2 linked regions of the Caenorhabditis elegans genome follow. The protein of the gene in region 1 interacts with the protein of each later gene in a pairwise test. Each region holds a gene or a part of one and is shown on either strand. Other genes may lie near its edges.

Region 1 (4,204 bases):
CACTACTTTTTGCAATGTTTAAATATTAGGGGTCAAACGTTGGTCAAAGATCGGGTGACTACTCCTGAGCAGCAGCTCCATTAAGCTTAGTGAGCATTCCATATCTATAATTATTTTCAGCCGACGTGTCTACTGTCGTTTATTCGATGAAAATAGGCAGGAAATCTATCAGAAAGCCGTGGCAGTTTTCCCCGAATTAACAATAAAGTGCTCGGAGAGTTCCTCAGTAAAAGCCGAGTTCGTTGCTGTAACTATAAACAAAAAGGATGTTCCAGGGAATATGAAGCAGATTTACAAAGAAAAAGAAACAAAGAACAAATCAGAGTTTACTGTATGTCTTGCTCCACTTTATGGAGAATCTCCGAAAGTGTTGATGTTGATGGAATTTATTGAATATTATAAGTTGCAGGTTAGTGTCTTGGGGTTACGGTAGAGTAGTTATTTTTAGAAATAAAGTGCATTTCAGGGCGCTGACCATTTTCTAATTTACTCATTCAACATCTCAAAGGAAACTGAAAATGTTTTGGATTTCTATAGAAATTCCTCAAACCTTGAAGTAATACAAATGGGAAATGAAACTAAATGTCTAAATCGTCATAGATGCAGACATGAGATGCAGTTACAGGTTTGTTTCAATTATTTTAATTTAAAAATAAAATTAATTCAGGACTGTGTATTCCGAACTCAAAAGTACTCAAGCTGGGTGGCAACGGTTGATTTGGACGAAAGGATCATGATGATTGATGAGAAATCTACTCTTTTAGATTATATCAGGTTTTCATTTTGCTTACTTTTTTATCCAACTCTCTATATTGACAGAAATTGCAATGATCATAAAATCTCTGAACTACGTTTTCGTTGTCAATGGACTCTTCGATATTCTGAAATTTCTTCTGGTGCTCCTCAAATTGAGAATCTTCCAATGATTACTTGGCATAACACCAGCCACGTGGCACCGCAGAATCATACTACAAAATCGATTATTCGGTCCCGAAATGTTGACTCGATGGGTGTGCACGGAGTTCAAAAGTTCCGAAATCCGATCTATGGAGTCCGACTTGTGGAGCCAGAAATTGCAGTTGTCCGACACTATCGATTGATTAAAGGATGGAGTTTCTTTTTAAGAGAAGCCGAATCTTTTGGCAACTTTTTCCATTTTCAACTATCTCCTGGTTTATCTAGTCGTATTATTGAAAGGGTTGCAAAAATTATTGCGAAATTTTAGAACATTACGGGTTAATAAATGTTTTTGATTTGTTTTGTTTTCTGTATTTTGATGTATTTTTGAGAGAATAAAAATATTATACCAAACATTTTGCGTCGGAATACTGTAGCTTCTCGGAAAAATATTTTTGAAGCAAAAACATGTTAAGTTTTTTTTTCAAAATCGTGAATTTTTAACGACAGCAATAATAATTTATTTCGTAAAACACATATTTCCTCATTTACTGGCAGTTTCCAGCAAAAATTACAGTCATTTCACAATTTTAATTCAAAAATTCTCAGCGGGGCGCACTTTCATATCTGTTCCTTGTCATCGTTTTGCACCGTTTTCGTCCTTCATCACGAGAATTTCTCGAGTTTTAGACAAGTTTTTACACTTTTTTGAACAGCTGTTGTCGAGAAAGCTTATAAAGTTAAAGTTAAAATGTTCTACTTCACAAATTCTCAGGTTCCATTCTTTTAACTTTCGAATCTTTATTTGAAAGGACAAAAAGTTTCCCGAGAGAACGGTTTTGTGTAATTAATTTTTTCATCGATTAGATGCGTTTATGCTCTAGAGATGCAGCGTTTTCATTTACAAATACGCAAATGTTCTTCGATTTTTTCTCATTCTTCCTTTTTCAATCTCATTTCTCATTTATTCTTCTAATTTTCAGATGTCTTTCCAAGTGAGCGTAGCCGTTAACGATGGACCATTCCAAAAGAAAAGTGTTACACCAAACACAACTGTTAGTTTTAATACTTAAATGTAATCTTTTATTCAATTTTTTTGCAGATTGGTGATCTGAATAACGACGCAATACTGATTTGGAAAGATACTGCAATTGTCTACGATATTTCGGATGAATCGAAGAATTTTGGTCCAACAGTGACATTAGAGGTAAATCGAATTGTTAAAGAAAATCTTAATCATACTATAAGTTCAGCAACTTGGCGTCACTCAAATTTCAATGGTTTACATATATACCACTGCGTTCCCATGTCCGTCTGGAGATCTCCGATCGATCGTTCCAGCACAAGTCCGGCTCATCTCGCAATTCGCTTCAGCTGCGTCGAGTATTTTTAATGGACAATCGTCTTCCTCAGCACAGTCTGCTCAGAGAACACGGAGAGTTGAACAAGATGATGAAGGTGAAAAATCGATGTTCTCTCGGAAACTTTTGGATTCTCCTGCGACGTTCAAAGCGCTCTCAGAAAATATGTTCTTCCGTTTGAAAAACGAGCCACACAAATTGGGCTACGGTTTGCCGGAACTTGTTGAACGCTTTTTGGCGAAAAAAGATATGACTTACAGTGAGTAGCGCATTTTTTAAATCTTTATCTGACGCCTATCTAATTTTCAGAGGAATTCGAGCAAATGTTCCGTTCCTACGTCGAAGAAGAAGTTCACAAGGAAGAAATTATCAAAAACAATCCAAATTCAGCAGAAGCAAAAATGTTTTTGGAAGCGAAAAGAAATAAAGAACTGATTGATGAACAATATTTACACGTAAGTTTACAATAGAAGCCTGTAAATATATACAAATTGTTATAATTTCAGTCAATGACCCACCACCCAGAAGATATGATTGCCGTCACAATGCTCTACATCAATTTGACTATAAATGGTGTTCCAGTCAAAGCTTTCATTGATTCTGGAGCTCAAAAATCGATCATGTCAATGGCATGTGCTGAACGTTGTGGTCTTAATGGATTAATCGATAGACGGTTCCAGTCAATGGCCCGAGGAGTTGGTGGAACAGAGAAAATCGAGGGAAAGATTCATTTATGTGAGTCAAAAGTTTCCAACATTGATTCACATTCATTTTAATAAATGTTTTCAGGCGATGTGAAAGTTGAAGATGCTCACTTTTCATGCCCATTCGAGGTAATGGCTCGTCGTGAGATGGATCTTCTCATCGGGCTTAATGTGCTCCGTAAGCATGGGTGTTGTATTAATCTGAAAACTTCACGGTATGTTTCCCTCACGAAAATCTCGCGAAATCTAAATTTTTTTTTCTTTTTGAGATTGGAGTTTGGCAACGGAACAACAACTCCATTCCTTCAATCCAATGAAATTGATTCTCATCTGAAAGAGATTATGGCACTTCCTGAAGAAGAAATGCAATTCGAAGATGGATCCACATAGTTCCGCCCCTACAATTTATCCTTCAAATCTCCTTGTCTTTTCATCAAAAACATTTCAATGCCACTTTACTTGTATTTTCTTCACTGCAAATATTATACGGAATTCTTTTTTTTCTGCAAATACACTCTTTCTGTGCGTATCACTTCTTTTTTCTCCATGGAAACTACCACGAGTTGTTCCCATGGGAAATTCCCAGTAAATATCTCAAATATATATTTTTTTTTCATTTTCGCTGTCCATTTTGTTGCCACAGGCGTTTTTCAGGTTGTATAATAGATTTTGTAAATAGCAGCAATGTTCAAGCTGAAGAACGGACAAGAAATTCCGAAATTGGCTCTCGGGACATACGAAGCCAAAGGTGATCAGGTTTGGAATATTTTTTATTTTTGAACTTCGTTATTTTATTTTACCTTTTTTAGCTTTTCGCAGCTGTCGACGAAGCACTCAAAGTTGGATACCGTAGTTTCGACACAGCGAAGTACTATGAAAATGAAAAGGATTTGGGTTTAGCTCTTAAAGTATGAATTAACGAAATAAAACGCAAACATGCTTTTTTAGGAAAAAAAGAATCTGATAGAAAATATATCATTACCCAGACTCGCGTTTTGTGCCAAACATACGTTACGCGGTCTCGGCGCGGCAAATGTTTGCTAATTGCGAAAAGGTGTGCGCCTTTAGAGAGTACTGTAATTCCATTCTCTTCACGTTGCACCATGAATTATAATTGATTTTCGTAGTTTTTCTTAATTAAAGACACAACCATTTTTATCATTCGTGTGAAAATCAATAAAAATTCTGCAGAAACGAAAGCTTAAAATTTTTTACAGTACTCTTTAATGGAGCACATCTGTT
Region 2 (4,007 bases), on another chromosome or scaffold:
TTAATAGATGCAGGGTGCGCGGCGATCCTTTTTCGCATTATTTTGAAAAACAAAAAAAAACCTTAGCCTCTCCTGCAGCATTCGTCTTAAATTTCTCCTTATTTCCCATATACCAGGTACTCAACAACCAGCAAGCTTCACCATCTTCCAGTTCACAGGCTCTTCTCATGTATCGTTCAGCCTTTTCTGAATCAGCTTTCCGATCTTTTTCTCCATTCCAATGAACAAGTGATAAATATCGACATCCTTGTGGAATATTCGCATCACATGCGATTTTCATCGGTCGAATCATTTTTGACAGACTTGCATCGTCTCCAACTTTTCCGGCTAACATGTACATTCCGTACTTGAAACATGACTTTGGATAACTGTTCTCGTCACAGTTCTTCTTGAAAATCGCTACGGCCGCTTGAAAATTTTGTTGCAGAGCTTCCATGTATTCGCCGAGCAATTGACAGGATTCTGGCCTTTTTTCCTGAAAATTTAACTTCAAAGAAAGATTGAAAATTCAAATTTCTCACTTCGTAGCATCCAAATCTGTACTCAATCCCAATATTTTTCACATATTCCGCCCTTTCGGCCTGTTCCTGCATAGCTTCTTCGCTTATTTTTCCAGACATCTTCAAGTAAAGTGAATTAGCGCATATTCAGAAGAAATGAACGACCGATATTGGAGTACGAAATCGTGATGACTCATTGGGTAAAGTTTGATAAATCGAAACGAAGAATCATTAAAACATTTGACTTTCATTTGAAAATGTTGGATGACAAAAGGGAATTACAATACCGAAATTATGTCACACAAAATTCGCTGAACGCGACGAGAATTTCAACGAAGTGCCTACCAGTAGCGGGTGACAATCAGCACATGGAACTGAATGTGTTATTATCTTAAATATATAGACAAAGGGCAATCGAGAAGGCGATGAATACACATTCTTGGAAGAAGTGTTAATAAAAAAATTAGGCTGATAGGAGCAAGAATATAAGCTTTACGGAAATGGGGGAGAGAGAATAAATTAATTTCTGTTGCAATTTCCAGTGACGGTGATCAGAAGTTATTGGCATGGGTAAGATAATTATTCCTCATCCTGAAATAATTAAAAATTAAACTTCTAATTATCTACGTATGGAAATAAACTCACGAGGTTGCTGAAAATAAAGTTGATAGCGGCTTCCTCGTTTTTGTCACATGCGAAATAAGCCTCCACAACCACAGCTTCTGGTGCATTAACAACTATGGCTTTGATTCTCTCAATAGCAGCAGCTTCTTCGGGACTGAGATGGATAACATGGCGACGTGGGGTGTTTCTTTCTGGCGCATTTCCTGCAGCGGCTCCGGCTCCTTGAGCTCCACCATTCAAAAGATCCATGAAAGCTTGCTGGTTGTTCTGAATAGTCTGAACAAGTCTTGGGTTGACAGCAGCCAACTGCTGAAGGACTGCGGCGAGCATTTCAGGATTTTGTTGAATCAAAGCTCTAATTTCTGCAAGCTGTGGCATGTTTGCAAGCATGTTAAGATCGTCATTGCCATCCTCATCCACGTTATCGATGTTTTGCTCGGGCCCCAAATCTGGTTCTTGGTCAGCAGCATCATCAGGAAGTCCGTTGAGAAGAAACTCGACTGCGCGGTCTGGATTCCAGAATGCTGCGCGCAGAGCAGCGATAGTTTGTTCACGGTCATAGCCCATTCCAGTGATTGCGAGAACGTTCTCTTCTTGCTCATCCGTAAGCGCCTCCGCCTCAGCAGGAGCAGCAGCTTCAGGAGCAACATCGGCAGCTGGGGCTGGGTTTGACGCAGGAGCGGCAGCTACTGGAACAGGCTCAGCAGCTGTGGCAACGGTAGATGAAGGTGCAACTTCTGTGACTTTCCTTTTGCTGAGCATCACAACAACGAACTTCGAAGAATCGAATCCGACTTCTCCGACCTTCACAGAATCGTCGAGAATCTAAAAAAAAAACATACTTTAAAGATATTATGAGCCTTCACTGTAATACCTTTCCGTTGTAGATTAATTTTTGAAGTTCTGGAGCATAATCATCCCCTTTCTCCGAAGCGACCAGAGCCTTTACTTCCGCAATCTGAAAGAAAAATAAAATACAAGTCGAACATTAACTCTAATCTTACCGTCTGATCTTCATTCAATTCCAAATTGAAGTTAACTTGTGTGAGAGTCCTGAATGTAACGGACAAAACCATCCTGCAAAAAATTGTGAAATGTTACGAATAGAGTCATGTATTGAAAGAAAAAGAAATAAATATCGATAACAGATTGATATTAATGCAAAACAAGCAGTATATATGTATAAAATAAACAAACATTTGATTATTAATAAAAGAACAAAACAAAAAAACCATTTTGAAGAACAAAATAAGTGGTAAAAAACAGAAGAGAAAATGGCTTGGCGTCTTAAAGGCGCACATGATTTGAACACTCTTCGTGGCGAGACCTGCCAGAATTGTCATTGTGTCGATTTACGGAGAATGCGTTTATTTCTTTTTTGAATGTTTTATTTTTATTTTTTAACTTCACTTGTGTTTATCGTGAACTTTTATCTTCGATTTTATCAAATTAAAACATTATTGGATTTAAGAAAATGTCTGCCGCCCATAAAAATCTTCTGGCTGTGTGGGCAAAGGAGCCAAAAGATCTTGTCGCAGTTGAGAAGGCTCTGAATGAGTTGACGGTCAGTTAATTGTTTGTCAAATTGTAAATAAATTGAATTTTCAGAAGGTTCTCAGTGCCTCCAGCGATTTGAATGATAAACAGTCTGCATTGGCTTCAAAGTAAGATTTTTCTTTGGTGTAATGAGTTTAAATTATTAATTTTCAGAGATTTGTACGAGATTTCGGTGCTCTTGGCAATTCTGAAGCACGATTTCGAAACGTTCGACGATTACATCAATCAGGTGAGTCTTTAAATAATTATTTGGAAAATTTATGTAATTTTTAACGATCTGTAAATTATTTTTAATTTTCCAGATGCATACCTACTATACAATGGCGCCAGAAAATTCTGAAAACAAGCATTTAATGACTGGACTCCATCTGATGTTCCTGCTCGCTGCCAACAGATTGTCCGACTTCCACATGCTCCTCGAACAAATTCCACAGAAAGAGCAAACATCAAACGCTTACATCTCTACGCCAGTTCGTATTGAACAGAGTCTCATGGAAGGAGCCTACAACAAGGTTGTGCTCACCGAGAAGAATATTCCAAGCCCCTTCTACACTATTTTCATTCGTATTATGCTTGACACCATCCGTCGCGAAATCGCAACATCTATCGAGAAGTCTTTCAAAGTTCTGACAGCGAAGGATGCCACGGTCATGCTTCTGTTCGACAATGACGAACAAATGAAAAAGTTTGGACAAGAGGTAATAATGATTTTTAAAGCTACAAGTATTAAAAAATATATTTATTTACAGAGAAAATGGCATTTGGATGGAGAGCGTTACGTTTTCGAAATTGAGGTGGCTCAGGAGAAGCCTGTGAATTTGGATACAGTGCGAGTCGCAACTCAAACCCTCTTCTACGCCAAGCAACTCGAACAAATCGTTTAACCGGTGTCTTTCAAGAACTCAAGCATTGTATTTGTAAACTGATTTTAATTTATTCGCGTCTTTTTCTCGGTACTGTAAGAAAATGAACTTTCCGATGCATTGTTTTAGCAAGTTTTAATTACATCTGAAAATTTTATTTGCACAAAGATTTCTGGAATGAACAAGAACATCTATCAATATGATATACCAAAAAAAGAAGTTGGAAAAATTCGAGAAAAAATACATAGAGGGACAAAATACAGTGAATTCGAGTGTCTATTGTTTTCAACAATATATACAGCTAGATGAGTAAAAAAAAAGGACGAAAGATTTAGTAGATTCTGAGAGACAGATAGATAAAGCGTGCCAACTTGGTTGACTCCTTTCCCGTATTTTCTGATTACCACACAACACAGCGTTTCGTTGGATTCATCGGAGATCCAGCTGGACATTTGAAAGCCTC

What was found.
Region 2: the proteins of ddi-1 (region 1) and rad-23 interact in a two-hybrid assay, tested with the Caenorhabditis elegans proteins (2 studies listed by BioGRID).

Annotation. Positions count from the first base shown.
Region 1 is NC_003282.8:6,520,994-6,525,197, forward strand, and holds ddi-1 (Protein DDI1 homolog 1), read left to right. Parts: upstream 1-1,873; 5' UTR 1,874-1,880; coding exon 1,881-1,952; intron 1,953-1,999; coding exon 2,000-2,104; intron 2,105-2,150; coding exon 2,151-2,517; intron 2,518-2,567; coding exon 2,568-2,713; intron 2,714-2,764; coding exon 2,765-2,993; intron 2,994-3,047; coding exon 3,048-3,177; intron 3,178-3,231; coding exon 3,232-3,352; 3' UTR 3,353-3,578; downstream 3,579-4,204. Other genes in the region: gtnt-2 (Glycosyltransferase family 92 protein), read left to right, coding at 121-409, 467-625, 668-774, 820-1,225; C01G5.5 (NADP-dependent oxidoreductase domain-containing protein), read left to right, coding at 3,647-3,718, 3,772-3,870. UniProt on the Caenorhabditis elegans protein: Aspartic protease. Required for the cleavage and activation of transcription factors such as isoform a of the transcription factor skn-1, which in turn regulates the expression of proteasomal subunits such as rpt-3.
Region 2 is NC_003280.10:11,650,529-11,654,535, forward strand, and holds rad-23 (UV excision repair protein RAD23), read right to left. Parts: upstream 2,202-4,007; 5' UTR 2,201-2,201; coding exon 2,129-2,200; intron 2,083-2,128; coding exon 1,999-2,082; intron 1,950-1,998; coding exon 1,146-1,949; intron 1,092-1,145; coding exon 1,080-1,091; 3' UTR 734-1,079; downstream 1-733. Other genes in the region: coa-7 (Cytochrome c oxidase assembly factor 7 homolog), read right to left, coding at 62-475, 522-620; rpn-12 (26S proteasome non-ATPase regulatory subunit 8), read left to right, coding at 2,599-2,688, 2,733-2,788, 2,835-2,910, 2,984-3,379, 3,431-3,565; nep-1 (Neprilysin-1), read right to left, coding at 3,945-4,007.